5 linked regions of the Macaca fascicularis genome follow. The protein of the gene in region 1 purifies or fractionates together with the protein of each later gene. This does not show direct contact. Links are inferred from orthologs where the notes say so. Each region holds a gene or a part of one and is shown in the gene's direction. Other genes may lie near its edges.

Region 1 (5,778 bases):
TCTCAAAAAAAAAAAAAAAAAAAAAGAAAAATGGAGCTGCTTTGCTGTGCCGTCCTCCCATGTAAACATGTGGAGTTGGGACACCTGTGCATTGTCAAAAAGGGTGCCCGGTCTAGCTCTGCTGGTTAACACACCAGGCTTGGTGTTCCTTGGAGTTGGCTTTTTTGCATATCCTGGGCAGAGGGGTCGGTGACACAGGCACACAGCCATGGCCAGCTTCAAGGGGCATGAGAGTCCTTCTGCCCTGCGTTTCCATCTTCCATAGAAGTTGTCCAGGAGTCCTGAGCCTCAGCATCAGTGGTCTTTTCCTTTCCTTCAGGTGTTTGTCCGGAAGCTCCGGAAGGCCTATGGGAAGAGCGAGTGGAACACTGTAGAGCGTCTAAAGGACAATAAGCCGAACTACAAACTTGACCACATCATCAAGGAACGGTGAGCCAGGCCGTCTTCGGGACACCGCAGTTTCTTCATTTACTGCTGGTCTCTGTCCTAGCACCAGGGATTCAGTAGGGAACAAGACTAAGACCCAGCTCAAAGAGCTTGCATCTCCTTGAAGGACACAGACCAAAAACCAAGCTAGCAAATTTCTAGAATGATTACTAGGTCTGTAGTTACAGGGCTGTCAGACAGGGCTCTGAGGGGAGACGTCTGAGCCAGCCAGCGGAAGCACAGTCCAAGCAGAGGCCGTGGCAAGTGCAGAGGCCCTGTGGTGGGAGAGCCCCAGCGCCCCATGGCTGCACGGCGGGTACCTGGTGAGACCTGGGAAGCACGGCTAGACACTTCTGGTCTGAACTGTTCCTTGCCCAGCCTTCTCAGACGTCCCCCTCATTCACTAACTAAATCAGCAAATTTTGTTTCGTGTGTTTTTTGAGAAAGTCTTGCCCTGTTGCCCAGCCTGGAGTGCAGCGGGGGGATCTCGGCTCACTGCAACCTCCACCTCCCAGGTTCAAACAATTCACCTGCCTCAGCCTCCTGAGTAGCTGGGATTACAGGCACCACCACCACGCCTGCCTTATTTTTGTGTTTTTAGTAGAGACTGGGTTTCACCATGTTGGCCAGGCTGACCTTACGTGATCTACCCACCTCGGCCTCTCAAAGTGCTGGGATTACAGGTGTGAGTCACCACATCCAGCCTAAATCAGCAATTCTTAATCAGGGGTGATCTTGCTTTTCCAGTGGGCATTTGGCAATGTCTGGAGACTCTTTTGGTTCTCACAACTTGGATGGATGTGCTATTGGTATCAAGTGGAGAGAGGCCAGTGATGCCACTAAATGCGCTATAGTAGTCCCCTACAACATAGTGTAGTCTGACCCAAATGTCAGTAGTGGTAAAGTTCAGAAGCCCTGGGCTGGTGAATGTCTGTCATCTTTGGGGGCTGATGGCCCAGGAACACTGAGCTCCAGGATGGCTCGGGTTGGCTTCATCCAGCCTGGCTGTGGGCTGTCACAGGAAGAGCCCTGGCCTAGGAGCTAGACGGCCGGTGTTCCCATCCCAACTGTGTGGCACATGCGCTGGGTGGCCAGAGGGTATTTCTTAACCCGAGTAGGTCCCCACCTCCATAAGAGATGATGGCAGTTCCTGTCCTGCCTGTGACACACAGTGTTCGGTGAAATAAACGAAAAAAAGCCACACACGAAAAGCAAGTGCCTGGGTTCATACACACACATCAAGTGTGACGGTGTGGTTGTGGTGATCTCATTTTACACCATCTCTAGCTCCTTAGCTAAAGCCAGAGCTTAAGAAAGAAAAGCAGTTGGCCCGGAAATGCTGGCGCTGTTTCTACAGAAAGCCTGGGTTGTTGGTTTTGTCTGTGAGGTGGAGAGTTAGGAAACTACAAGGCACCAGAGAGGGCCAATTGAGGCTGTCACCTCTGCACCAAGAAACCAGACAGCTATCCTGCTGCCTCATGAGAGGTCTCTGCAGGCCTTTCTTCCATCTTGGCATGGGTTTGAAGACCTGGTAGACTTCTGACTCGTAGCAGTAAGTGATGCCATCTGGGGCTGGAAGGACCTTGGCAGTGTCTGGTCTCATGGATTTTGGAGTCTTTTTTGAAGTAGCAGAACCCATTCTCTCTCTCTCTTTTTTTTTTAAACTGCACCCCTCCCGCTGCCCCGCCCAACCCCCAGCCAGAACCCATACTTCAAAAGGAAGCTGCTTCTCCTTGAAGAAGCACTTGGAAAAAAGAAAATAGGAAAAGTAACAAAAATGATTTTTAAAAAGGTAGCTTCCTGGAAGGCAGTTTGGATGCCAGCGTCTCTGGCAGCTGCTCTGGCTGCGGGAGAGAAGCTTGAAGCTCTGTCCGTCCACTTGGGCCCAAGGCATTTCTAGGGAGCTGCAAGAGCCCAGTCGTAAATGAAGAGTCTGGGTCACAGCTCGGACCAAGACTGGAATCCAGGTGTCGTTGCTTGTGGTTCCATGTCTTCTCTGTGACCCATGCCTCTGTCCCTCAACAGGGCAGCCACACAGTGCCCGGGGTGGCTCCTCCGTGTTGGCTTTGTCATTTACCACAAGATTCCCCGAAACACATTCTGCTCTGGCTCTTCCTGGACCCAATTCCCTGGGTCTTATTGGTTCTGCCAACTAGACAGGTCCAAGGGGTGAGAAGCATGGAAGCTAGAACCTACGCTGGCGACCTGTGGCCAGGCCTAGACATAAGTGCTGCCTAGGGGAAGCAGCCCCCACCCCGCTCCCTTCTCCACTAGGGCAGCTTTGGTTTCCCATTTTCCATCTTGGACCTCTCTATAGAGTGTCCGTGCACTAAATGTTCACCTTCAAAGACAGTCATGGAGGCCCTGACTCCGTCTACCTTCATGCACCACAAAATACGTACGTGGGTCAAGGCTGGGTCTTTGGTGAGCAATGGGTGTCTTGAGGATCCCCATCAGGACTTCTCTGGTCCTCAGAGCCTAGTGGGCACGTCCTGGTTAAGTGGTTCCTCCCAAGGACTGTGGTCAGATGTGGGGAAGCTGCTCCTGCCAGGTCAGGAGGTGGCAGTGGTGAGGCCTGGCTTGAGGAATGGGGCATCTGGGGTGGGGTAAGGAGATCAGGGCCCCCCCTTGGTACCCAGGCTGAACAGGCCCCATGTGCTGCCCCACTGGCTGTGCAGGTACCCCACATTCATCGATGCCCTGCGGGACCTGGATGATGCCCTCTCCATGTGCTTCCTCTTTTCCACCTTCCCACGGACTGGCAAGTGCCACGTGCAGACCATTCAGCTGTGCCGCCGGCTCACTGTGGAGTTCATGCACTACATTATTGCCGCCCGTGCCCTGCGCAAGGTGAGCCTGTGACCATCTGGCGGGCACCCCACCCCACGCCCTCTCCTGCCCACCATGGTCTTCACCCAGCTGTCTCCTCTCCCACAGGTCTTCCTGTCCATCAAAGGCATTTACTACCAGGCCGAGGTGCTGGGGCAGCCCATTGTGTGGATCACTCCCTATGCCTTCTCCCATGATGTGAGTGTGCCTGTCGGGAGGGGAGGGGCTTGTGCTGCCTCCTAGACAGATACAAGTGTGGAGGAAGGGGGATTTTGCTGTTCATGGAGTCTAGCAAGTGCTGGGTTCCCAACTGTTGACGATGGGTGAGGTGGGGCAGAACAAGATGGGGAATGTGCCACACAGCATCCTCATTAAGAGCAGGAACCTAAGCTAGTCCTGTGGCAGCACCTGGCAGCTGTATGCCCTTGGACGTGTTCCTTTCACCTCTCTGTGCCGCAGTTAACAGTGTCTACGTCCTTAACAGTGCCTGGTGCTTGGCCTTTTAGGGGCCGAGTGAACAGTGAGAACAGCTACCAGGGTCATACCCGGCCTGCACGTCCAGCACCACATGGGGACAGTGGCAGAGCCCTGCCCTCAAACCTACTGGGGTCCTTGTCCCTGCTTTGCTGCCAATAACTGCCAGACCTTGGCCAAGTGGCCTTGCCTCCCTCCTCTGCTTCCCCCTTCCCGCCTGTCTGCCCCACAGGACTCAAGGACTGGGAGAGAAGGGGAACGGTGAGCACAGGAGAAGCACTTAGCATGTGGCACTGTTTCCTATACATATTGTTTTCTCTTTCTTTTAAAATAGAGATAGGGTCTCACTACATTGCCCAGACTGGTCTTGAACTCCTGAGCTTAAGCAGTCCTTCCATCTCAGCCTCCCAAAGTGGTAGGATTATAGGCGTGAGCCGCAGAGCCCAGCCTTTTTCTTTATCCATTTGAAATCCTGGGAATTGTTGGCAGGGATCCACTGAGAGAAACCCTGGTTTTGCCCCCTCATGGAGGCATCATTAGCTTCTAGTGCCCCCCAGGTGGTGGGGCCAGCCTCTCCTGCCTCCCTGTGCTGGTGGCCTGCATTTAGCCCACCTTGCTTGATCATTGAGTGGGAACTGGTGCCTTCAGTGGAGAGCAGCCGCTGCTGGTCCAGTTAGCACAGTGGCTCTGCTGTCCAGATTATCGGGGCTCCAGGGGGAGCTGGGGCTCTAGGCGCTCTGGACTGTTCCTTACGATCCCTTGTGGGTGGGGTTGCAAGGGCTGGAACCCACCCTAACTGGCTGCCTGGTGGTGAGGCTGTGGCCTGTTTGCCGGTGAGAGGCGGGCTTGGCCCTCAGCAGTCCCTGTTCCCACCCCTCATGGGGCACGCATGGGTGGCCCTTCCTTCTTCCCCTCCACAGCCCTCTCTCCTCCTCCTTCCTTCCTGCCTTCCTCTTGGGCCTTCCATCTCTCTGACGTCCTGCCCCCATGCTACTCAGACTGCTCTTTGTGTGTCCTCCCTGCTGGTGAACAGGGCCCTGGGGCAGGCTGGCCTCCACACAGCTGGCCCTGGGAGAAGGGAGCCAGCCACCCATTCCCCTTTCCTCCCCGGCCAGTTCACAGCCGTTGCTTCCTCTCAGCAGATGGGGAGGACTGGCACTAGGTCGTAGCGGAGCCCAGTTGTGCCCCTCCTGTGAGCAGCCAGGGTTGGGTTCATAGCTGTGGAAGTCAGGCTGGTTGTAGGGTCGGGGGCCCCCTGCTCAGTGCTGGGCTGTGGGAAATGTGGTTGGTCCCCTGATGTGCCTGTCAGGGGCCCTCACAGATTCTCATGGAAGGATGGAGGTGTGAGTGGGGGGACAGGCGGGACTTCCCTTGGCCCTGTGTGCTTTCACAGCACAGGTCACTGTCTGGCAGCAGAATAGCAGAACAGCTGAGAGTCATGGGCACACCCGGCACTCATGGTGATCACTACTGATTTTCATGTTGCTCGGAACATCCTGCTGCGTCCTGGGAGCCAGCTGGGCTGGCTTGGCCTCCATGGTTTTAGGGGGCAGAACCGCTCAAGAGTTGCGGTGCTTCTGTCTGGGCCTCAGTTCTTTGCCCTGTTTTGCCCTATTAGCTGCTCCAGGGCGAAGATAAGCCTTCTGTGTCCCCTGCTGCTGGGATGACAGCTCTTTGCCTTTGCCCTGAGCAGTAAGTAGTTTGTCTGCTGGCCATTTCCCAAGAGCTGCCTGGGGGCTGAGCCAGGCCAGCTGCCAGCCTACCCCAGCCCTTTGGGTCATGGCTCTGGACCTGGCTTGGGCCCAAGGAGGGGTCACTCAATTCTGAGTGTCCATCCCGAGGTTCAGAGGTGGGACTCAGTGGGTGGCCTGAGCCCCATTCATCCCCCGCCCCCGCTGAGCCTGGCCTTCCCAAGGCACCTTAGTCAGCTAAGGTTTTGCCAGCCCTTCTGGGCTAGGGACAGCGCTGGGAGCACCGCCCTCCTGGTGCCCACACGCTAGCCCAGCAGCAGACATGCAGCAAAGATTGTGGGCTAGGTGATGCGGAAGG
Region 2 (6,459 bases), about 84 Mb from region 1:
TGTTGTGATCCTTAAACTAGATTTTAAATAAAGGAGTGGTTGGATCTCATTTGCATTTTATTATTATTTTTTTGTATTTTGTATTTTAGTAGTTTTTTTTGTACTTAGTAGAGATGGGTTTTCATCATGTTGCCCAAGCTCGTCTCAAACTCCTGAGCTCAGACAATCCTCCTACCTTGGCCTCCTTAAGTTTACAGGCATGAGGATCCTCCTTACGAGGATCAATCCTCCTAAGGATTACAGGCATGAGCCCCCGCACTTTTTGCATTTTAAAGACTTTGTTCTGGCTGCTTCGAGGAGAGGAAAGTGGAGGGGATAAGTCTAGAAGACCTGTGTGGTAGTTACTGGCCGATCGAGAAAGGAAGGACGGCAGTGAGGGTGGTGGGGAGGTCTCCATGTATTCAATACAACACATAGTCATTCATTCTTCATTTTTTGAAATAAAGGGTCTCGCTCAGTCACCCAGGTTGGAGGGCAGTGGCGCGATCATAGTTCACTGCAGCCTTAACCTGGGCTCTGGGGATCCACCTGCTTCAGCCTCCTGAGGAGCTGGGACTACAGGCGTGTGCCACCATGCCCAACCATGCTCTGTCACCAGGCTGGAGTGCAGTGGCACCATCTTGGCTCACTGCAACTTCCAACTCCTTGGTTAAAGCAATTCTCCTGCCTCAGCCTCCCATAAGCTGGGATTACAGGCACGTGCCACCATGCCCAGCTAGTTTTTGTATTTTTAGTAGAGACGGGGTTTCACCATATTGGCCAGGATGGTCTCGATCTCTTGACCCCGTGATCCGTCTGCCTTGGCCTCCCAAAGAGTTGGGATTACAGGCATGAGCCATCGCGCCCAGCCAACATTATTTTTAATTTAAAAAAAAAAAAAATATATATATATATATATATATATATATGAGATGGGGTCTTGCCATGTTGCCCAGTGTTGTCTGGAACTCCTGAGCACAAGCCATGCACCCACCTGGCCTCCTCAAGTGCTGTGACTAAAGGTGTGAGCCACTTTGGTCTTGATTTTTATTTTATTTTCTTTTTTTTTTTTTTGAGACGGAGTCTTGCTGTGTCTCCCAGGCTGGAGTGCAGTGGGTGATCTCGGCTCACTGCAAGCTCCGCCTCCCGGGTTCACGCCATTCTCCCGCCTCAGCCTCCCAAGTAGCTGAGACTACAGGCGCCCACCACCACGCCCGGCTAGTTTTTTGTATTTTTAGTAGAGACGGGGTTTCACCATGTTAGCCAGGATAGTCTCGATCTCCTGACCTCGTGATCCACCCGCCTCGGCCTCCCAAAGTGCTGGGATTACAGGCTTGAGCCACCGCGCCCGGCCTTGATTTTTATTTTCTTCTGAGATTTTTTTTTCCCCTATAATAAACATTAATTTTCATTAAAAAGTTTCGGGCTGGGCGCAGTGGCTCATACCTGTAATCCCAGCAGTTTGGGAGGCTGAGGCAGGAGGATTGCTTGAACCCAGGAGTTCGACACCAGCCTGGGCAACATGGTGAAACTCCGCCGGGCATGGTGGTGGCGCCCGTACTTCCAGCTACTCAGAAGGCTGAGGCGGGAGGATCGCTTAAGCCCGGGAAGTCGAGGTTGCAGTGAGCCATTATCTCCACTGCACTCCAGCCTGGGGGACAGAGCCAAACCCTGCCTCAAAAAAAAAGAAAAGAAAAGAAAAAAAAGAAAAAAAAATTACTTAGAATTTTACCACCCAGAAACAATCACAGCTAACTGCTTATTGTATTTTCTTCTACATTTTTTTAATATAAATATCCACATCTAGAGTTTATAAATGCAACTCTTTAGCCTCTCTCACCCCTTGCACTTTCCTCAAACATTTCCACCATCTTGAGGCCGGAGACCGTGGAATTTGCTTACCGAAAAAATCCCCTCCCCTTGATGTCGTCATACGAAACTACGCCCCAGATTGCCGCATGCGCACTCTTAAGAGGTCGAAACGGGGAGATGGGCAGGGGCTCTCGAACGGAAGTGACGCATGGTACATGCGCAATGACGACGAGGAGGTGGTAAAAAGTCAAGTGCTGGCCCGCACGCTGTGCTCGCTTCCGGAAGTGGCTTCTGCGACAACATGCTTGCAGACCTCGGCTTAATCGGGACCATAGGCGAGGATGACGAGGTGCCGGTGGAGCCCGAGTCTGACTCTGGTGACGAGGAAGAAGAGGTATGAGGACGGTTCTGGTCTTTGGGCTTCCTTGACTGCTTCTCTTCCCCGCGATTCCTCAGGTCCCTGTCCCCGAATCCTCATCATCGCCTGCCAGCCCGGGAAGTTTCCCTAAAAGGATCTCGCCGGGACCCCAAGATCTTCCTCAGTTTTCCGGCGACTAGGTTTTCTCTACGTCCGCCTGCTTCTTTGGCCGTGTCGTTCCCTGTCTCCTTGCTGAACTCAGTATCCATTCACTGAATTGATATTTAACCACGCACTGTGTAAGAGACATGCAGGTCTCTTACACCTTGTAAGAGGTGAAGTCAGCCCTGGTTCCTGCTCAAGGAGCCGTGGTTAGCTGTCCATTCATATGTTCATCGAGCCAGTGTTTATTGTATACTTATGTGTGCTAGACCTAGTGTTAAGCGTTGGGGACGTAGCAATGAACAAGGTGAGTGCCACTCTTCTGAAGCGTATGGTGGTGTGGGGGCTTGCAGATATTAAGCAGTATGGCAATTAAAGAGGGATCGGTGTTCTGAAAAGGATGCTTGCCCTTCAAACATTCAGCCCAGATGTTGTCCCTTCTGCAGTCTCATCTGTCCGCTTGATACATTTATTCAGATGTCCCATGGCCTCTACAAATTCAACTCCTCCAAAGTTGAACTTGTGTTCGCTCTCATCCTGTTCCCTTCTCAAGCCAGCAACCTTAGAGTTATTCTTGACAGTTTTTTCTTCCTCAGCGCCGCCAGTGCTCTGCAAGCTAGCTCATGAATCTCTCTTAAGCTTCTCCCGCCTCTCTCCATTCACACTGTACCCACCCTAGCTCCGGCCACTGCTGTCTCATGCCTGCACACCAGCACACCAGCACACCACCAGTCCAAACATACTTCATTTCTTTATCTTGAGCACTTCCAGTGTATTCTTCGCTTAGCAGCAGAAGGATCTCTTTGTGATACAGTCACGTTAGAGACCTCCCTTGCTTAAAACTCTCCAGCCTGCTGGTAGAGAGCCCCAGGCCTGTCCACTCTGCAGAGACTCCTCAGGCAGCCTGTGGGTCCTGCACACTGCCCCCATTTCCCTGATGTCCCCTGTGGGCGCAGGCGGCCTACTGGCTGGTGCAATCTTGGCTCACCACAACCTCTGCCTCCTGGGCTCAAGCAATTCTCCTGCCTCAGCCTCCTGAGTAACTGGGATTACAGGCATGCGCTACCACGCCCAGCTAATTTTTCTGTATTATTATTTTTTTTGAGATGGAGTCTTACTCTGTTGCTCAGGCAGGAGTGCAATGGTATAGTCTTGGCTCACTGCACCTTCTGCCTCCCGTGTTCAAGCAATTCTCCTGCCTCAGCCTCCCGAGTAGCTGGGACTACCAGTGCGTGCCACCACACCTGGCTAATTTTTGTATTTTTAGTAGAAACGGGGTTTCACCATATTGGCCAGGCTGGTCTTGAGCTCCTGACCTCGTGATCCGCCCACCTTGGCCTCCCAAAGTGTTGGGATTACAGGCGTGAGCCACCATGCCTGTCTTTTTTGTATTTTTAGTAGAGACTGCATTTCATCATGTTGGTCAGGCTGGTCTGGAACTCCTGACCTCAAATGATCCACATGCCTTGGCTTCTTAATGTGCTGGGATTACAGGTGTGAGCCACTGTGCCTGTCCCCTTCTTCCTTTCTATTGTTCTTTATCTCAGCCCCAAAGTCACTCTGTCTCTTACTCTTCCCAGGGGCCTATTGTGCTGGGCAGACGACAAAAAGCCTTGGGGAAGAACCGCAGTGCTGATTTCAATCCTGACTTTGTTTTCACTGAGAAGGAGGGGACTTATGATGGCAGCTGGGCCCTGGCTGATGTCATGAGCCAACTAAAGAAGAAGGTGAGTCTGACAGTGATGGACAGTTCCAGACCTTGGACTATTAAGATTGGACTGTGGGTTTCAGGGCCTAGTCCTGACCTGACTGACCATCTGTTTACATTCAGCAGATACTAGAACTCCTTTGAAAATAACTGGTTTAAAAAAAAAAAAAAAAAAAGAAAGTATCTGGTATACTTTTGATGAGATCACAAATGACTCACTGTCTTTTTTTTTTTTTTTTTTTTTTGAGTCTGCTTGCTGGGGAAGACTCGTCTTGATTAATACCAAATGAAGTATGAGCACTTGCCAGGTGTCTCCTGTGGTGTCACTGTGCAGTGTCCCTGCCCACACAGCACAGCCAAAGCTACCACAGATGTCATTGTCATCTGCTTGTTTGCCAAGATCCCATGCCTTTCTGTGAATCTGGTTAAACTAGAAGATGCATCCAAGTTATTTACCATTTCATGTGCATCAGAGAGAAAGATTGCCTGTCCAGAACAGTGTAATCCAGGCTTTGCTGGTCCTTGTTCTGATTGAAATAAATCAGCATTGCCTTTTCTTTTTTTTGAGACAGAGTCTCTCTCCGTTTCCCAGGCTGGAGTGTAATGGCGCTATCTCGGCTCACTGCAACCTCTGCCTCCTGGCTTTAAGTGATTCTTGTGCCTTAGCCTCCCGAGTCGCTGGGATGACAGGTGCCCACCACCACGCCCAGCTAATTTTTTGTGTTTTTTTTTTTTTGTTTTTGAGATGGAGTCTCACTCTGTCACCCAGGCTGGAGTGCAATGGTGCGATCTTGGCTCACTGCAACCTCTGCCTCCTGGATTCAAGGGATTCTCCTGCCTCAGCCTCCTGAGTAGCTGGGATTACAGGCATGTGCCACCATGTCCAGCTAATTTTGTATTTTTAGTAGAGATGGGGTTTCTCCATGTTGGTCAGGCTGGTCTCGAACTCCCGACCTTAGGTGATCTGCCTGCTTTAGCCTCCCAAAGTGCTGGGATTACAGGCGTGAGCGACTGCGCTCAGCCTTACCAGCATTGCCTTTTCAAGATCATCTGGAGAGGATTTTAAAATTTTTGTATATATAATATGTATATATATTTTCAGAGAATGCCAACATTTTTTCTTTTTCAAATTAATTATGAAGAATTTGTTCTCTTATTCGATGTTTCAATGAAAATTTCTTTTCACCTCTTTATTTTTATCTGCAGAGGGCAGCCACTACATTAGATGAGAAGATTGAGAAAGTTCGAAAGAAAAGGAAAACAGAGGTGAGAGGAAAAGTGGCTATTTCTCGTTGTTATGCCCCACACTTTACTCTCACCGCGACCCCAGCATCTCTCTGGAAGCCCTTACAGAGCGGGGCATGGCTGGGGCAAGCACGCTCTTCTGTGCGTTTGCTGTGCATCAGTACTGAGAATCCCCACAGCCGTCTGTTCAGGCCGGAGAGCTTCCTGTTGCTTTACTTAAGTTCTGGATCTGTAGAAGTTTGTCATCACCGTCGCTTTAATTTTTTTTTTCCCAGGTTAAAGAAGCCAAGTCTGGGAAGTTGGAGGAGAAGGAAACAAAGGAGGGCTCTGAACCAAAAGAGCAGGAAGACCTTGAAGGGAATGATGAGGAAGGCTCAGAAGATGAAGCCTCAGAGACCGACTACTCATCAGCTGATGAGAACATCCTCACCAAAGCAGGTAGACGTTACGGCGGAGGTGTCAGCAACGGGGACAGGAGATCAGAAGGCATCCTCCTTTATTTTGTAGGGTTTCCTTCACTCTTCTGCACAGTTTAAGATATTCTGCCTACTACATTGAACTCCATTGAACTCCTTTCTGTTTTTTTTTTTTTTTTTAAGAGATGTTGGCTGGGCACGGTGGCTCATGCCTGTAACCCCAGCACTTTGGGAGGCCAAGATGGGTGTATCGCTTGAAGCCAGGAGTTTGAGACCAGCCTGGGCAACATGGTAAAACCCCGTCTCTACTAAAAATACAAAAATTAGCTTGATGTGGTGGCATGGACTTGTAATCCCAGCCACTCAGGTGGCTGAGGCATGAGAATCACTTGAACCTGGGAGGTGGAGATTTCAGTGAGCCGAGATTGTCCCATTGTACTTAAGTCTGGGCCACAGAATGAGACCCTGTCTCAAAAAACAAAACAAAGCAAAACAAAAGAGATGTGGTCTCACTCCATCCACAGGCTGGAGTGCAGTGGTGCCATCATACCTCACTGGAAGGCTTGAACTCCCTGGTTCAAGTGATCTTCCTGCCTTAGCTTCCCAAGTAGCTGGGCCTACAGGTGCATGCCCCTGCGCCTGGCTAATTTTTTTTTCATAGGGATGGGCTCTTGCTTTGTTGTTCAGGCTAGTCTCAAACTTCTAGGCTCAAGCAGTCCTCCCGCCTCGACCTCCAAAAGTGCTGGGATTACAGGAATGATGAGCCACTGTGCCCACTG
Region 3 (5,778 bases), on another chromosome or scaffold:
CCTCCCAAAGTTCTGGGATTACGGGTGTGAGCCACTGCACCTGGCCTAAGGCTTTCTTATATTCTTTTTCCCCCTGTTTTCAGCATAAGTTTTACAAGGCCATTAGTATTTCTTCCTTTTAAATTTTTTGTTAGGAGACAGGTCTTGCTTTGTTGCCTGGGCTGGACTTGAACTCCTAGGCTTAAGCAGTCCTCCTGCCCCAGATTTCCTAATGTTTATAGGTAGGACTACGGGTGTGAGCCACCATGCCAAGCTATTATTTCCTAATAATCACTCTTAGCTTACTGTTAGGTCAAATAAAGTTCTTGACTTTTTGAATGGCTCCAAATTTGCTGAGTTATGAAGGGGACTAATATGAAGGATATGAAGGAGATATATTAAATTGGGGTTCTTTATCTTCATAATGTAGTATTTTAAAACTGTACCATCTGACTTGTTGCTGGTTTCTCTTGTGACTAGGAAGAAGTTGTGGAAATAGAATACGTGGAGAAGTATACTGCACCCCAGCCAGAGCAATGCATGTTCCATGATGACTGGATCAGTTCAATTAAAGGGGCAGAGGAATGGTATTGCCAGATTAATGCTCTTCTCTTTTTTCATTTACCTCCTTCAGTCTTTTTAAATCCATATATAAATATTTTTCTGTGATTTACTGTTATTTGTAAATTAATTTTGTGATCTCTATATCAGTGGCCACGCCAAACAGAAAGATCTTTGCACTCAGTGTCTTCAAGAAGAAACAGGTGGTCGGGCACGGTGGCTCACACCTGTAATCCCAACACTTTGGGAGGCTGAGGCGGGTGGATTATGAAGTCGGGAGATTGAGACCATCCTGGCTAACATGGTGAAACCCCGACTCTACTAAAAAAAATACAAAAAATTAGCCGGGCATGGTGGCAAGTGCCTGTAGTCCTAGCTACTCGGGAGGCTGAGGCAGGAGAATGGCACGAACCTGGGAAGTGGAGCTTGCAGTGAGCCAAGATGGCCCCACTGTACTCCAGCCTGGGCGACAGAACGAGGCTCCGTCTCAAAAAAAAAGAAACAGGTATTTATTAATGGATACTCTGTTCTGTTCAAGATGTAATAGTAACAATTACTGTTGTCTTTTTTTTTTTTTTTTTTTTTTAAACGGGTTCTCCTTCTGTTGCCCAGGCTGGTTTCAAACTCCTGGGCTCAAGCAGTCCTACTGCCTCAGCCTCCTGAATAGATGGGATTTCTCTACACCTATCTATGTTTGTCTTCTGAATAAGTCGTGTATCTTAGAGCATTTAATTTATTTGGTTTGATTATGTTGCTTTTAAGACCAAGGATATAGTTTGTTTCATAGAGGAAAAAAGTAACCTTTTTAGCCATAGATCTCCTGGCCTAATACCATAAAGATGCATAGCATGCTCTTTTAGGGCTAGAAAGAGCAGACTGTACTCAAGAAAGAAGGTATAGATATCTCAGGGCAAATCCTCACTGGCCTTGCGTTTAGGAAAACACCTCAAGAGTAGATTATAGTAGGAGCTTACTTCTTTCAGAGAACATCTCCCTGGAGTTATTACATAAAGTTATGTTTCTACTAGTTTTAGTTTAAATGGTTTTCACTGGTTGAGTACAAAGTACTTCAGGTTGACAGCCAGGCGCGTGACTCACGCCTGTAATCACAGCACTTTGGGAGCCTAAGGCAGGTAGACCACTTGAGATCGGAAGTTTGAGACCAGCCTGGCCAACATATTGAAACCTGTCTCTACGAAAAATATAAAAAATTAGCCGGGTATGGTGGTCCATGCCCAGAGTCCCAGTTATTCGGGAGGCTGAGGCAGGAGAAGCACTTGAACCCAGGAGGCAGAGGTTACAGTGAGCTGAGATCACACCACTGCCCTGCAGCCTGGGTAACAGAGCAAGACTGTCTCAAAAAAAAAAAAAAAAAAAAAAAAGAGCACTACAGGTTGGGTATTCCTTATCTGGAAATGTTTGGTACCAGAAGTGTTTTGGATTTAGGATTTTTTTTGGGGGGGGGGTAGTTTTGCAGTATTAACATATACATAGTGAAATATCTTAGGGACGTGATCCAAGTCTAAACATGAAATTCATTTATGTTTCATATATAGCTTATATACCTAGCCCAAAAGTAATTTTATATTATGTATATATAATATATAATATATAATATATATATTTTATATATTTTTTATATATATATGTATTTTTTTTTTAAACGGAGTCTCGCTCTGTCGCCCAGGCTGGAGTGCAGTGGTGCGATCTCAGATCACTGCAAGGTCTGCCTTCCGGGTTCAGGCCATTCTCCTGCCTCAGCCTCCCGAGTAGCTGGGAGTCTAGGCACCTGCCACCACGCCTGGCTAATTTTGTTTTTGTATATTTAGTAGAGATGGGGTTTCACCATGTTAGCCAGGATGGTCTCGATCTCCTGACCTCGTGAATCATCCGCCTCAGCCTCCTAAAGTACTGGGATTACAGGCGTGAGCCACCACGTCCGGCCAATTTTATACAATGTTTTTAATAATTTTGTGCCTGAATCAAAATTTTGACTGCATTTTGACTACAGCCTGTCATTATGAAGTCAAGTGTGAAATTTTCTACTTGTGGTGTCATGTTGGTGCTCAAAAAGTTTTGGATTTTGGAGAATTTTGGACTTATTTTCAGATTAGGGATGCTCAACCTGTGTTAGGGCCTACAAGTAATTTGCGTAGCTTTTGTGAGAGTTGTATTATTTACAACAATATAAAAATGAAATCGGCCAGGCGCAGTGGTTCACGCTTGTAATCCTAGCACTTTCGGAGGCCGAGGCGGGTGGATCACAAAGTCAGGAGTTCGAGACCAGCCTGGCCAACACAGTGAAACCCCGTCTCTACTAAAAATACAAAAAAAATTAGCGGGGCGTGGTGGTGGGTGCCTGTAATCCCAGCTATTCAGGAGGCTAAGGCAGTAGAATCTCTTGAACCTGGGAGGCAGAGGTGGCAGTGAGTCAAAATTGCGCCACTGCATTCCAGCCTGGGTGACAGAGCTAGATTCCATCTCAAAAAAAAAAAAAAAAAAGGAAATCTAGGATTTGCCAGGTATTATTATTATTTTTATTTATTTATTTATTTTGAGACGGAATCTCGCTCTGTTGCCCAGGCTGGAGTGCAGTGGTGCAATCTCGGCTCACTGCAAGCTCCACCTCCCAGGTTCACGCCATTCTCCTGCCTCAGCCTCCTGAGTAGCTGGGACTACAGGCACCTGCCACCACGCCCAGCTAATTTTTTGTATTTTTAGTAGAGACAGGGTTTTCACCGTGTTAGCCAGGATGGTCTCAATCTCCTGACCTCGTGATCCACCCGTCTCGGCCTCCCAAAGTGCTGGGATTACAGGATTGAGCCGCCACGCCCAGTCATGCCAGGTATTATTTTTAGGAGGTTGAGAAACATCAAGTGATCTGATCTAGTGTGTTTTGAAATCTCAATCTTCATATCAAAGAAGAGTTTAAAAGTATACTCCTCAAAGTTACTTTGTCATTGCCATAGAAACAAAATTCATTTTCAGGGTTTGAAAAAAACTGCTTTTTCTGTTTCATAAGATTTCTTTTCTCTTCATAGGATCTTGACTGGTTCTTATGATAAGACTTCTCGGATCTGGTCCTTGGAAGGAAAGTCAATAATGACAATTGTGGGACATACGGATGTTGTAAAAGATGTGGCCTGGGTGAAAAAAGGTTAGGACATTTTCCTTACACTTCGAGGAATCCTAGATAGAGATTTGGAAATAAGCCATTTTTGGTGCTGGGGAAGAATGGGGAGTGGGTAGGAAGCATCTCATACCTCAGTTATTATGAGGTCTTTCAAAAAATATAGTGTTCAAGAAGAAAAAGATTATATAAAAATTCATAAATTGTTAGAAGTGAATATTTATTAAAATTGCATCAGATAATATACATTTTCAAGTTAATTTTTTTTTTTTTTTTTTTTTTTTTTTTTGAGACGGAGTCTCGCTCTGTCGCCCAGGCTGGAATGCAGTGGCCAGATCTCAGCTCACTGCAAGCTCCGCCTCCCGGGTTCCCGCCATTCTCCTGCCTCAGCCTCCCGAGTAGCTGGGACCACAGGCGCCGCCACCTCGCCCGGCTAATTTTTTGTGTTGTTAGTAGAGACGGGGTTTCGCCGTGTTAGCCAGGATGGTCTCGATCCCCTGACCTTGTGATCCGCCCGTCTCAGCCTCCCAAAGTGCTGGGATTACAGGCTTGAGCCACCGCGCCTGGCCTCAAGTTAATATTGAGTGTATTACATTCATCTATTTTCTTCTTGTTTGTTTGTTTTGAGATGGAGTCTCGCTCTGTCACCCAGGCTAGCATGCAGTGGCATGATCTCGGCTCACTGCAACCTCCGCCTCCCAGGATCAAGCGGTTCTCCTGCCTCAGCCTCCCGAGTAGCTGGGACTACAGGCGCCTACCACCACGCCCGGCTAATTTTTGTATTTTTAGTAGAGATGGGGTTTCACCATGTTGGCCAGGCTGGTCTCAAACTCCTGACCTCGTGATCCACCCGCCTCGGCTTCCCAAAGTGCTGGGACAGGCTTGAGCCACCGCGCCTGGCCTGTTTGTTTTTTGAGGCAGAGTCTCACTCTGTCACGCAGACTAGAGTGCAGTGGCTCAATCTCAACTCACTGCAACTTCCACCTCCCAGGTTCAAGCAGTTCTCCTGCCTCAGCCTCCTGAGTGGGTGGGATTACAGGCGCCTGCCCCCACACCCACCTAATTTTTGTATTTTTACTAGAGACAGGGTTTTGCCATGTTGGCCAGGCTGATCTCAAACTCCTGACCTTAAGTGATCCGCTTGTCTTGGCCTCCCAAAGTGCCAGTATTAGAGGCGTGAGCCACCACACCCAGCCATCATCTTCTATTTTTAAAAAATCTTTTCTTTATACCATATCAGCCTTTTAAAACCTGGCCATATATGAGTTATCTTTTTAACATCTTTTTCAATAACAAAAAAATTTAGTTCTTCGGTTTCAGAACATGATGTATTCTAAATGGTGTACTGATTTGTTTCTTATTCTTGTGTTCTCCTTTCTTCAGATAGTTTGTCCTGCTTATTATTGAGTGCTTCTATGGATCAGACTATTCTTTTATGGGAGTGGAATGTAGAGAGAAACAAAGTGAAAGCCCTACACTGCTGTAGAGGTCATGCTGGAAGTGTAGATTCTGTAGCTGTTGATGGCTCAGGAACTAAAGTAAGTAGCTGGAATGTAATTAGTACTGTGTTAAATTAGTATTGGAGCTTGTTCCTAAACATTTTTTTTTTACATATATTCATTGTGTTGGCCTAGTTTCCTAACAATCGGTGACAAAAGATAGGATTTCAAAGCAAGAGTAAATACTCATACAGTAGGAGATAGTCAGTTGCTCAGTTTGAATATCCCTGGTTTAGAACCTTATATAAACCAGAAATTTTAAGAAATGAGGTGGCCGGGCGCGGTGGCTCAAGCCTGTAATCCCAGCACTTTGGGAGGCCGAGACGGGCGGATCACGAGGTCAGGAGTTCGAGACCATCCTGGCTAACACGGTGAAACCCCGTCTCTACTAAAAAATACAAAAAACTAGCCGGGCGAGGTGGTGGGCGCCTGTAGTCCCGGCTACTCGGGAGGCTGAGGCAGGAGAATGGCGTAAAAACCCGGGAGGCGGAGCTTGCAGTGAGCTGAGATCCGGCCACTGCACTCCACCCTGGGCGACATAGCGAGATTCCGTCTCAAAAAAAAAAAAAAAAAAAAAAAAAGAAATGAGGTATGGGCCGGGCGCAGTGG
Region 4 (6,480 bases), on another chromosome or scaffold:
AATGCTCAGTAAACACATATTCAGTTAATGAATAATTGTTTAAGAGTGGGGCTCTTTTCTTTCTCCCTGTGTCAGTCTGGTGGAGTAATGGCGTTGGCGCTGAGAATAAGTATTCTCCTAGCACCATCTGCTGGCAGTAGAAAACCATTTCCTGAATCCTGGCCTCGATCCCATTCAGCCTTGCAGTACTGGTTTTTTGGGGGTTGTTTTGAGACAGAGTCTGGCTCTGTTGCCCAGGCTGGAGTACAGTGGCATAATCTCGGCTCACTGCAACCTCTGCTTCCCAGGTTCAAGCAATTATCGTGCCTCAGCCTCCCAAGTAGCTGGGACTACAGGCATATGCCACCATGCTCGGCTAATTTTTATATTTTTAGTAGAGACAGGGTTTTGCCATGTTGCTGAGGGTGGTCTTGAACTCCTGAGCTCAAGTGATCTGCCCGCCTCAGCCTCCCAAAGTGCTGGGATTACAGGTGTGAGCCATCGGGGCCCGGCTGGAGTATTGTTAACCCTAAAATTCCTCCTCCCTTTAATATTATTGATACCACAGACTCTACCTTTTATCCATAGACAGGAAAAATCACAAAACATTTAACTTTTTGCTTTTTTGTTTACTATTTAGTGAATGTCTTACACTTTGATGACCCTTGTATTTTGCCTCTTTACAAAGACACACGGTGAGGTGCTGAAAGAGAATGGGCCTCCCTCTTTCAGTGTGTGACCCTGAATACTGGGTTGTCCTGACACTTATTCATCAGAAAGTGACCTGTGCCCATGGCAGTCTTTCCGGTTGGACTAGTTACATGGCAACACGAGGCCTTTAGCTGCCACCAGTATCAGTATCAATAGTGCCAAAATCGAGAAATTGGTGCTAGACCCTTAGGATCAGTGATGAGCAAGCAGTCATGGTTCCTGACCTCCTAGTATCGTGTGGAAGAAATATTAAATATATAATAATGTCCTGAGGGAAATCAGACACTAGAGTCTTACTAGTCAGCCCATAGACCAGTAGCACCAGTGTCATTCTGAAGCCTGTTAAAAATGCAGAATATTGGCCGGGCGCAGTTGCTCACGCCTGTAATCCCAGCACTTTGAGAGGCTGAGGCGGGCGGATCACAAGGTCAGGAGATCGAGACCATCCTGGCTAACACGGTGAAACCCCGTCTCTACGAAAAATTCAAAAAATTAGCCAGGTATGGTGGTGGGCGCCTGTAGTCCCAGCTGCTCGGGAGGCTGAGGCAGGAGAATGGCGTGAACCCGGGAGACAGAGCTTGCAGAGAGCCGAGATCATGCCACTGCACTCCAGCCTGGGGGACAAAGCAAGACTCCATCTCAAAAAAAAAAAAAAAAAAAGGCCGAGCGCGGTGGCTCAAGCCTGTAATCCCAGCACTTTGGGAGGCCGAGGCGGGTGGATCACGAGGTCAGGAGATCGAGACCATCCTGGCTAACATGGTGAAACCCCGTCTCTACTAAAAATACAAAAAACTAGCCGGGCGTAGTGGCGGGCGCCTGTAGTTCCAGCTACTCGGAGGCTGAGGCAGGAGAATGGCGTGAACCTGGGAGGCGGAGCTTGCAGTGAGCCGAGATCGCCCCACTGCACTCCAGCCTGGGTGACACAGCGCGAGACTCCGTCTCAAAAAAAAAAAAAAAAAATGCAGAATATCAACTCCCCACCCGGCTTCCTGAATAAAAATCTGTATTTTAGTAAAATCTTCAGATGACTCCTATTCACTATTAATGCTTGAGAAGCGCTGCTCTGGAGGTTTGCGGAGATAAGACTTGTGTTGTTTTTCAGGATTTTTAATTTAAAAAAATTATTTTTTTATTTTTTTGAGACACTCTCGCTCTGTCGCCCAGGCTGGAGTGCAGTGGCACAAACTGGGCTCATGCAGCCTCCGCCTCCCGAGACTTCAGGCGCGAGCCACCACGCCCAGCTAATTTTTTGTATTTTTAGTAGAGACGGGGTTTCACCATCTTGGCCAGGCTGGTCTCCAACTCCTGACCTCAAGTGATCCACCTGCTTTGGCCTCCCAAAGTGCTGGGATTACAGGTGAAAGCCACCGGCTCCGGCCTACTTTTTCAGGATTTTATATAGACCGGGAGGGAAGAATGCATATTCCAGGTGATGACAGCTGTATAAGGGTTTTATTTTCATTCCTTTTTTTTTTTTTTTTTTTTTGAGACGGAGTCTTGCTCTGTCGCCATGTTGGCCAGGCTGGTCTCGAACTCCTGACCTAAGGTGATCCTCCCGCCTTGGCCTCCTAAAGTGCTGGGATTACAGGCGTGAGCCACCGCGCCCGGTCTGTATAACGGTTTTAGATGGCAAGGAAGCAAGTTGTAGTTTTCGGTCCAGCAGTAATAGTAACAAACATAGTGCTGACAGACACTGCTAAACGCTTTACGCTTTATATAATCTCCTGTAATCCTCGTAACGCCATTAGGTAGACCTATTATTACTGTATACCCATTTTATGGGTAATGAAGCCGCAGTACAGAGGGGTTAAATAACGTCTTCAAGGATCCATCGACGGAGCCAAGCTGACGGAATCGCAGCTACCTGTTTTACCACTCTAAGTCCTCAATAAACACTTGCACCTACATGTGAGAGCCAAAACCATAGCCTCCAAATTTTTCCACAGAGCGAAAAGGTTTCCCGCAATTTGTCTGTCTTCCTCCTCAGAGACGCAGCAGAGCCGCGCCGGAAGTGCGGCGCCTTCGCTAGAGCGGACGCCATAGGTGCATTGTGGGAAGCACTTCATTGTCCACAGCCAAGCTGTTTGTGATGAAACTGTAACTTACAAAAAAAAGGGCTGGGTTTTGAAAATGATACAGGCTCTAAAAACCCTGGAAGCGCTGCAACTTTTGGCAGGAATCGGGGTTAGCAGGACCTCAGCGGCTCACTGCGGCTAAGTGACCGCTGACTGTCTGGGTCCTCCAGCGTGAGTTAGAACAGACATCTCTATGGTCAAGGAAACAGAGCGAGTGCTGTCTTCCGCATGTGTTGGGGTTGCGCATGATCAGTAGCTGCACCACTAGAAAGATGGCGGAGCAAGAGTGAGTGGGGCTTTGAATATCTGGAATTGGGTGTTGAGTATCTGGTGCCATCCACGGTGTTTATGCCTCGGTGGCGGATTCTTGTGGGCTCTAGGAATAGAAAAGGCCACAGTTTACAAAGGGTGGGGATGAGAAGCCGTAGCGCTGTGGCGGAGGAGGGAGGGGACCGCGGTCAATTTCGGGTTATCTAGAGAGGCGAGGATTGACTTCAGGCAGCGGGCTGGAGTGCCACAGTTGAATTCACCCAGCCTGACAAGTATTAACCCTGCAGATAGGTCTGCACCCACCCCAACCCCATGGGGTTTTACTAGATTCGTCGCTGCTAGTGCCTATGAAGAGCTGTGGCAGTGAAAATCCTGTTAACTTACAGGAACGCAGAGGCTAAAGGGCTCTTTACTTTTTGAGGCATTGGGGATGAGTGAATATTAGGGGTACATTTTGAGGCCTGGAGTCAGAAACCGCAGGTTTCAGGGGAATCTTTCTTCAGACACTTGAAAACAGTAATGTTCCCTGAAGCCCAGGATATTGACTTGGTTTGGAAATCCATTGAATGTTCGTTTTTTTTGTTGTTGTTGTTGTTTTTTTGAGACGGAATCTTGCTATGTCGCCCAGGCTGGAGTGCAGTGTCGAAATCTCGGCTCACTGCAACCTCCGCCTCCCGGATTCAAGCGATTCTCCTGCTTCAGCCTCCGGAGTAGCCGAGATTACAGGCGTGCGCCACCCCGCCAAGCTAATTTTTTATTTTTGGTAGAAACAGGGGTTTCACCATGTTGGTCAGGCTGGTCTCGAACTCCTGACCTCAGGTGATATCCCCCCCCCACCTCGGCCTCCCAGAATGCTGGGGTTATAGGCTTGAGCCACCGCGCCCAGCCAAGTGTTCTTTTTCTTTTTCTTTTTTTTTTTTGAGACGGAGTCTTGCTCTGTCGACCAGGCTGGAGTGCAGTGGCCGCATCTCAGCTCACTGCAAGCTCCGCCTCCCGGGTCTATGCCATTCTCCTGCCTCAGCCTCCCGAGTAGCTGGGACTACAGGCACCCGCCACCTCACCCGGCTAGTTTTTTGTATTTTTTAGTAGAGACGGGGTTTCACCGTATTTAGCCAGGCTGGTCTCGATCTCCTGACCTTGTGATCCGCCCGTCTCGGCCTCCCAAAGTGCTGGGATTACAGGCTTGAGCCACCGCGCCCGGCCTCAAGTGTTCGTTTTCTAAATGTTATCTCTGATCTCAATTTTCTGCATCAGGCAAAGAAAAATCCCTTTGGTTCCAGAAAATCTGCTGAAAAAGAGGAAGGCTTATCAAGCCCTCAAAGCCACCCAGGCAAAGCAGGCACTTTTGGCAAAGAAGGAGGTAATGGTGGGGAACCAAGATAAAGTAATTAGAATTTGTATTAGGTGAGTTTTATCCAGCATGTGTTGGACTACATTTGGTATTTACGAGCTCCCCGCAACAGTTTGACAAACCAGGTATCGTTGTCTCTCAGTGTCCTTAGGGGGTTGGTTCCAGGACTCCCACAGATGCCTAAATCTGAGACTGCTGAAGTCCCTTATATAAAATGGTTGTGGTATTTGCATATCATCTGTACTCCTTCCGCCTATGTAATTTAAATTCTCTTTGGATTACTTAATAGCTTTTTTTTTTTTTTTTTTTTTTGAGGCAAGAGTCTCACTGTGTTCTGGAGTGCAGTGACACAGTCTCGACTCACTGCAACCTCTGCCTACTGGGCTCAAGCAATTCTCCTGCCTCAGTCAACCAAGTAGCTAGGATTACAGGCATGTGACTAATTTTAGCTAAATTAGCCACCACACTCGGCTAATTTTTTTTTTTATTTAATTTAATTTTGTTTTGTTTTTGAGACAGAGTCTCACCTGTCTCCCAGGCTGGAGTACAGGGATGTGATCTCGGCTTACCACAACCTCCGCCTCCCGGGTTCAAGCGATTCTCCTGCGCCAGCCTCCCGAGTAGCTGGGATTACAAGGATGTGCCACCATGCCCTGCTAATTTTTGTATTTTTAGTAGAGACGAGGTTTCACCATGTTGACCAGGCTGGTCTGGAACTCATGGACTCAAGTGATCTACCCACCTCGGCCTCCCAAAGTGCTGCGATTACTGGCATCAGCCACCCCACATGGCCACTGGCTAATTTTTGTATTTTTAGTAGAGATGTTTTAACATGTTGGCCATGCTGGTCTCAAACTCCTGGCCTCAAGTGATCCACCCACTGGCCTCTCAAAGTGCTGGGATTATAGACCTGAGCCACCCTGCCTGGCCTGGGTTACTGATAGCTAATACAGTGTACATAATGTATTTTTAAAATTTGTATTACTTTTTACTGTTTTTTTTTTTTTTTCATTTTTTTCCCGAATTTTTTTTCTTTTTTTTTTCTTTTTTTTTTTTTAAGAGGTCAGCAGGGCGCAGTGGCTCACGCCTGTAATCCCAATACTTTGGGAGGCCGAGGCAGGTGGATTACTTGAGGTCAGGAGTTCGAGACCAGCCTGGCCAACATGGTGAAACCACATCTCTACTACAAATACAAAACATTAGACGGGCGCTGTGGCATGTGCCTGTAATCCTAGCTACTCAGGAAGTGAGGCAGAAGAATTGCTTGAACCCGGGAGGCGGAGGTTGCAGTGAGCCAAGATTGTGCCACTGCACTCCAGCCTGAGTGACAGAGCGAGACCCTGTCTCAAAAAAAAAAAAAAGTGGGGTCTTTGGCCAGGTATGGTGGGTCACGCTTGTTATCCCAGCACTTTGGGAGACTGAGGCAGGTGGATCACCTGAAGTCAGGAGTTCGAGACCAACCTGGCCAACAAGGTGACCCTATCTCTACTAAAAATATAAAAATTAGCCAGGTGTGGTGGCACATACCTGTAATCCCAGCTACCTGGGAGGCTGAGGCAGGAAAATTGCTTGAACCCAGGAGGCAGAGGTTGCAGTGAGCCGAGATCGCATCACTGCACTCCAGCCTGGGTGACAGAGCGAGACTCCATCTCAAAAAAAAAAAAAAAAAAGAATGAGGTATTCTGTTACCCAGACTAAGTGCAGTGGCAGGATCATAGCTCATTGCAGCCTTGAATTCCTGGGTTCAAGAGAACCTCCTGCCTCAGCCTCCTGAGTAGCTGGGACTACAGGTGAGCCACTGTGTATGTGCTCCTCAGAAGTATTTTCCATCTGGGGTTGGTTAAATCACGGATGCAGAGCACCAAGTGTATATGGTGTATGTCTTCCTTTAGCAAATATTTAACACCTGCAGGCAAATGCTGGCGTTGAGTTTAAGGAAGCTTGTTAGTAAGCATTGATTAATATCATGCAAACTAATTTTTTGTTTGTTAATTATTTTTCCCAGTAATTCCCAAGTTTACTCAACTCCACCTTTACTTTGGTTTTTCATTTTTCCCTTATATGAAAATAGAGAATACTGCTTTGCCCTGCATT
Region 5 (5,259 bases), on another chromosome or scaffold:
TCTGTATTTAATCTTACGTAAGACTTGGAGAAAGAGCTTCTGGAATTGACTGGAGATGCAGTAAGTATAGCCCGCTGTATCTCCTTAGCAATATAGCACTACCTCATTGATTAGAGAAATGGTTTGGGACAGGTACAAAAGTTTATCTTGGGTTTATCTGAAGTTCAGTCCAGTTGCATAATGGAAAAGTAATGAGAACAGCTCTGAGGGATATGTCTGCTGTTTTAGGTGCTACCAATGAAGGTGTTGAGATTGTACTCCAGTGCCTTGATGTCATGCTAACTAAGCGCAGAAAGCAAGTTTCTCAGCAGCGAGCTCTTGCCTTCATCAAACGCCTTTGTACCCTTGCTCTTCATGTTCTTCCAAATTCAAGTATTGGCATTTTAGCAACTACCAGAATATTAATGCATGTAAGTAGTGACACAAATGAACAGAGCTAAGTTCTTATAATGCAGTGATTTTTTTTGTTTGATGCATGTCTTTCCCCCTTTTTATATTATTTCAATTACAGAAGTAATTCACACTTGTAACAAAATCAGGTGACAAAAGAATTACATGAAATTGAAAAAAAGCATTTTGTACCTATTGACACTTCTCAGAGTGTCATTAGCTGGGTGTCCATTTATCATTTGGTGGGTATTTTTCCAGCAGTCTTTTAAAGTTCATATATAAACACATACACATAGAAACAACACAACTTTGTATTTTAATGGAAAGAGGATTATGCTATATATTCTACCACTTTTTTAACCTTAGCATTTTAATCGTGGTAAACACATAATGTCACTACTCTTATCTCTTTAATGTCTATGTAAGGTTTATTTAGTTCTTTGCTTAACAAACACATAGTTCTGACTATGTGCCTTCCACTGTTATGCCTTACAAAAATTTAATTTTCATAACTCTGAGGTAGCTACTATTCTTCTTCCTGTTTTACATGTGGGAAAACTGAGGTCCGGAGAGGTTAAGTGTCTTGTCTTGAGTAGCAGTGCCAGTCAGTGGTAGAAGTGATATTCAAATGTAGGCAGTCTGGTTTTTCTGTTTCTCTTGATATAGGTTATTTCTTTTTTTGCTATTACAAATGATGCTATAGTGAATATCTTTTTGTATTTATCTGATGTAATTATTTCTATCAGATTTCTAAAAGTGGGATTGCAAGGTGAAAAGAATATTGTTTTCTTTTGCAAGATAACATTTTAAAGACAAAGATAAAATTTTTTTTGCAACTTTTGTTCTTACGATATAAACTTAAAATTGTTTTTTATTAAAACTAGGTGTAAACACTTTACACCTAAAGAGCTAAAGCTCTTCTTATACAACTATAAATTTAAATGCAAATACAACTACAAACCAGTAACACCTTTTACATTAACAATGTTAATTTAACCAATTCTTTTTATGTGACATTTTTGCAGACTTTCCCCAAAACAGATCTACTGCTTGACAGTGAATCTCAGGGAAGTGGAGTTTTCCTTCCTGAACTGGATGAGCCTGAATACTGCAATGCTCAGAACACTGCTCTGTGGGAACTACACGCTCTGCGGGTAAGAGTGGCCCTCGTTTTTTTCTTTTTGGGGATGTGTGTGAACAATTGTTTTCCAGTTTTTCTTCAAATAGTTGTTATTGCCAGAGTACTTAATTATATTTTGTTCTGGGGCTGCTTTTTTTTAGAATTCCTGTGTTAGTATGCTACATTTTACTTTGCTCTTACTATTTTTTAAGCTGTTGAGGTACATTTTCTAAGGAAGCAGAAAACTGTCAGTTCTGTGGGGTGAGGTTGTGGAAGATTTACTGAAATCTTTCCCTTTATTGAAATCTTTCCCTAACACTCTTCAGAGGATTTGTTAGCAGGTGCATTTCTGTTGAGTCCTATCCTAGGAGACTTTAGTAAGCCCTGTTTCAAGATGGTTTCACCTATACAGTGATCCTACAGTGTGGACAACATTAGAGTGAGACTTGTAGAAAATAGAAGTGGCAGGTAACCTGTTGTAAATTAACTTTTTTCACTCGGAAAGAGGAATTGCTTTTTGATTTTTCTATTTATATTGTAAAAGCAAGATAAACTACTTCACTGGTAACTTGATTTGTGTTTTAATCCTATGAGCAAAGATAATATTTCTGTGGCTATGTGCTTCTAATGAATTACATATACTGTACATAGGTGATGAAAAAAAAATTTGGTGTACTTTCATTTAAGAAAATCTTTGCTGTGGCTAGTGTTTTTTTGTAAAGGACTGACCTGTGCAAAATGTGATTGTCCTGTTTCCCCTTCAGAGGCATTATCATCCCATAGTGCAGAGATTTGCAGCCCACCTGATCGCTGGAGCACCTTCTGAAGGCTCTGGAGCACTCAAACCAGAGTTGAGTCGAAGGTAATATTTAGCATTGCCTTATTCTAAAACTACAAAATTCAGCTGGTAGCCACTTACTATGAGAAGTCTGTTTTATAAAGTAATATATTACACAATGTAAAGTGCCAGTTGGGTATCTGGGTTGGTCTTGCTTCATATTCCTGAATTGTTCTGAAAGAAAACATGCTATGATTTTGTTAATCACTTAAAACATTTTTTTTCTTCTTATGTCATTCAACTTGAAAAACATTTTTTTAATCATGAAAAGTTTCACACATACAGGAGAGTAGAATGGTATAGTGAATGTCCATATGCCCCCCATCACTCAGGTTCAACAATGAATAATCTATGGCTATAGGTGCTTCATGTGAAGATAAAACACAAGTCAACCAAATTAAGTTTCCTTGCTTTCTTGCTGTCTCTTTTTTTTTTTTTTTTCTGAATGGTCCTGTTAGGGCAAGAAGAGGAGAAAAAAAACAGTGAGGATAGGGAAGAAAAGAGGTGCTTTGGAACACTGCCATCCAGAAGGGCAGCTGTTTCTTTTTTTGGCCCTTGCAGACTACCTTCTGACCTGTAAGCAGCTTGGATGGGTACTTCCAGCACCCACCTCACACCCAGATGAGGAAAAAGTCCTCCTAAAAGAATCTTCTTTTCCCTGAACTGTTGATTTAGAAAATTTTCACAAGTGCAGAAAGGTGAAAAAATAATAGTTACTTTTTTTATTTTTTTGAGAGGAAGTCTCGCTCTGTCACCCAGGCTGGAGTGCAATGGCGCGATTTTGGCTCACTGCAACCTCCGCCTCCCGGGTTCAAATGATTCTCCTGCCTCAGCTTCCCGAGTAGCTGGGATTACAGGCACCCGCCACCATGCTCGGCTAATTTTTGTAATTTTTGTAGAGATGGGATTTCACCATGCTGGCCAGGCTGGTCTCGAACTCCTGACCTCAGGTAATCTGCCCACCGTGGCCTCCTACAGTGCTGGGATTACAGACATGAGCTACTGCGCCCAGCCAGTAATTACCTTTTTTTACATACAGACAGGAAATACTTCAGTTATACAGAGAAAGAGAGAAAATGGTATAAAAAATCCCTCAGTCCATTTATGGTGCCATAAAAAATGCCTAAGACCGGGTAATTTATAAACAACAGAGGGCCAGTCTCGGTGGCTCACACCTGTAATCCCAGCACTTTGGGAGGCCGAGGCGGGTGGATCACCTGAGGTCAGGAGTTTAGGACTAGCCTGGCCAACATGGTGAAACCACATCTCTACTAAAAATACAAAAATCAGCCAGGCGTGGTGGTGGGTTCCTATAGTCCCAGCTACTTGGGAAGCTGAGGCAGGAGAATTGCTTGAACCAGGGAGGTGGAGGTTGCAGTGAGTCGAGATCTCGCCATCGCACTCCAGCCTGGGCAACAAGAGCGAAACTCTGTCTGAAAAAAAAGAACAGAAATTTATTTTCTCACAATTTTGGAGGCTGGAAGTTGAAGATCAGGGTGCTGGTAGGTTTGGTTGACTGATGAGGGCGCCTCTCTGCTTCTGAGGTGGCGTCTTGTTGCTGTGTCTTCTGGAGGGGAGGAACCCTACACCCTCACATGGCAGACAGGACAGAAGGGGAGCAGGGCCACAGCTTAAGTTCATGAAGCCTCTTCTATAAAGACTTTAACCCATTTATGCCAGAGGTGGCAAATTTTTTTGTGTGTGAAAAATCAGACCTTGGGTGATGACCTTGAGCAGTAGGATATAAATAACTCCTACAAGCTTAGGACAGTAGTAGGCATAAATGGGTTAATCCCATTCATGGCTTTCATCTCTTAAAGCTTTCACCACTTAATACCATCACACTGACTGTTAAGTTTCCATGTCTGAATTTTGGAGGGGACACATTCAAACTACAGCACCTTACAGTGTACTTATTACCCAGAATTAATATCTTGCTGTAGGTTTTTTCCTTTTGCAAGCCCATTGGTTTCTATAATTCAGAGATCTCAGATTGGTGACCTTTGGGCCAGGCTGATTTTTCTGGCCTCAAGAGTTTGAAAAAAATCAAATTAGTTGCTGTCTTTTAAATATTGAAAGAATTCATCTGAAATTCACATTTCCTGCTTTTCTTGAAATACTGGGAGGTTTGGTGACATTGGCTTGTATTTTACATGACAGTAGTCAGTCATTTGCTGCCTCCTCTACATGAGGCAAGAGCTCTGCAGTTTTCCATGAACGCTTTCCTTCTGAGTAGGGTGGAGATAACTTTTGTCCTTATTAAATAAAATGGCCATTTACTTTTTCTTCCCTCACACTTCTCACCTGTCCCCAGTCTTCACCCCAACAGCCTTGTTTTTTAAAAGAGGAAAAAAGAAGAAAACAATTCTTTGTCACTCTTCATAATCGTTATATGACATGTTTTCCTTAGCAGTTTTGCTAAGGAAAGATGTTTCCTTTGTGGAGAAGCATGAGGAATGGGCTTATCCCAAAGGCTTAAGAAAGGAGACTCATAGTGGGCTTCTGGAGAATGGGTATTGGGATGTGAGCCTAATTGCTACCCTCGTAGGCCCTTGCCTATCTGTTTTGGAGAGTGTGAGCTAATTCCAAGTCATTAAGGGTTCATTTACACGCCATGGGTATAGACATGTATTCTGTCCTGAATGGCCTTTCCTTGTTTTTTATCCAGGCCAGTAGCAAAGAGTTGAGCTGTGTTCTAAGTCTATGGAGAATGACTCCATGCTTCAGTCCTCTGGCTCCCATGACTAAGATAGACTCAGTTGCATTATCAGTGGGTTGGGATTTGATCACACTGAACTGAAGTTCTTCAGCTTAGCTTTCTCTCTGGAGTCTATGCCTGTATTGCTAATGTATACCAAACCTCTCTGAGGTGGATTTAGTTGGATAATGTTGACATTACGTGGGAATTTAG

What was found.
Region 2: the proteins of PES1 (region 1) and DDX27 purify together in Homo sapiens (affinity purification with mass spectrometry; 4 studies listed by BioGRID and IntAct, counting the BioPlex papers as one, with this or other methods). This does not show direct contact. The link is inferred for Macaca fascicularis from reciprocal best matches to the Homo sapiens genes PES1 and DDX27.
Region 3: the proteins of PES1 (region 1) and WDR12 purify together in Homo sapiens (co-immunoprecipitation; 7 studies listed by BioGRID and IntAct, counting the BioPlex papers as one, with this or other methods). This does not show direct contact. The link is inferred for Macaca fascicularis from reciprocal best matches to the Homo sapiens genes PES1 and WDR12.
Region 4: the proteins of PES1 (region 1) and RPL7L1 purify together in Homo sapiens (affinity purification with mass spectrometry; 4 studies listed by BioGRID and IntAct, counting the BioPlex papers as one, with this or other methods). This does not show direct contact. The link is inferred for Macaca fascicularis from reciprocal best matches to the Homo sapiens genes PES1 and RPL7L1.
Region 5: the proteins of PES1 (region 1) and NOC3L purify together in Homo sapiens (affinity purification with mass spectrometry; 3 studies listed by BioGRID and IntAct, counting the BioPlex papers as one, with this or other methods). This does not show direct contact. The link is inferred for Macaca fascicularis from reciprocal best matches to the Homo sapiens genes PES1 and NOC3L.

Annotation. Positions count from the first base shown.
Region 1 is NC_088384.1:21,080,451-21,086,228, forward strand, and holds part of PES1 (pescadillo homolog), read left to right. Parts: intron 1-319; coding exon 320-429; intron 430-3,104; coding exon 3,105-3,276; intron 3,277-3,363; coding exon 3,364-3,453; intron 3,454-5,778. UniProt on the Homo sapiens protein: Component of the PeBoW complex, which is required for maturation of 28S and 5.8S ribosomal RNAs and formation of the 60S ribosome.
Region 2 is NC_088384.1:105,298,558-105,305,016, forward strand, and holds the start of DDX27 (probable ATP-dependent RNA helicase DDX27), read left to right. Parts: upstream 1-2,059; 5' UTR 2,060-2,092; coding exon 2,093-2,185; intron 2,186-3,891; coding exon 3,892-4,038; intron 4,039-5,225; coding exon 5,226-5,285; intron 5,286-5,539; coding exon 5,540-5,702; intron 5,703-6,459. UniProt on the Homo sapiens protein: Probable ATP-dependent RNA helicase. Component of the nucleolar ribosomal RNA (rRNA) processing machinery that regulates 3' end formation of ribosomal 47S rRNA.
Region 3 is NC_088386.1:98,766,670-98,772,447, reverse strand, and holds part of WDR12 (ribosome biogenesis protein WDR12), read left to right. Parts: intron 1-459; coding exon 460-566; intron 567-3,581; coding exon 3,582-3,697; intron 3,698-5,053; coding exon 5,054-5,208; exon of another isoform or gene 5,209-5,439; intron 5,440-5,758; exon of another isoform or gene 5,759-5,778.
Region 4 is NC_088378.1:128,658,529-128,665,008, reverse strand, and holds the start of RPL7L1 (ribosomal protein uL30-like), read left to right. Parts: upstream 1-2,737; 5' UTR 2,738-3,010; coding exon 3,011-3,051; intron 3,052-4,289; coding exon 4,290-4,395; intron 4,396-6,480.
Region 5 is NC_088383.1:103,103,725-103,108,983, reverse strand, and holds part of NOC3L (nucleolar complex protein 3 homolog), read left to right. Parts: intron 1-228; coding exon 229-410; intron 411-1,415; coding exon 1,416-1,544; intron 1,545-2,274; coding exon 2,275-2,372; intron 2,373-5,259. UniProt on the Homo sapiens protein: May be required for adipogenesis.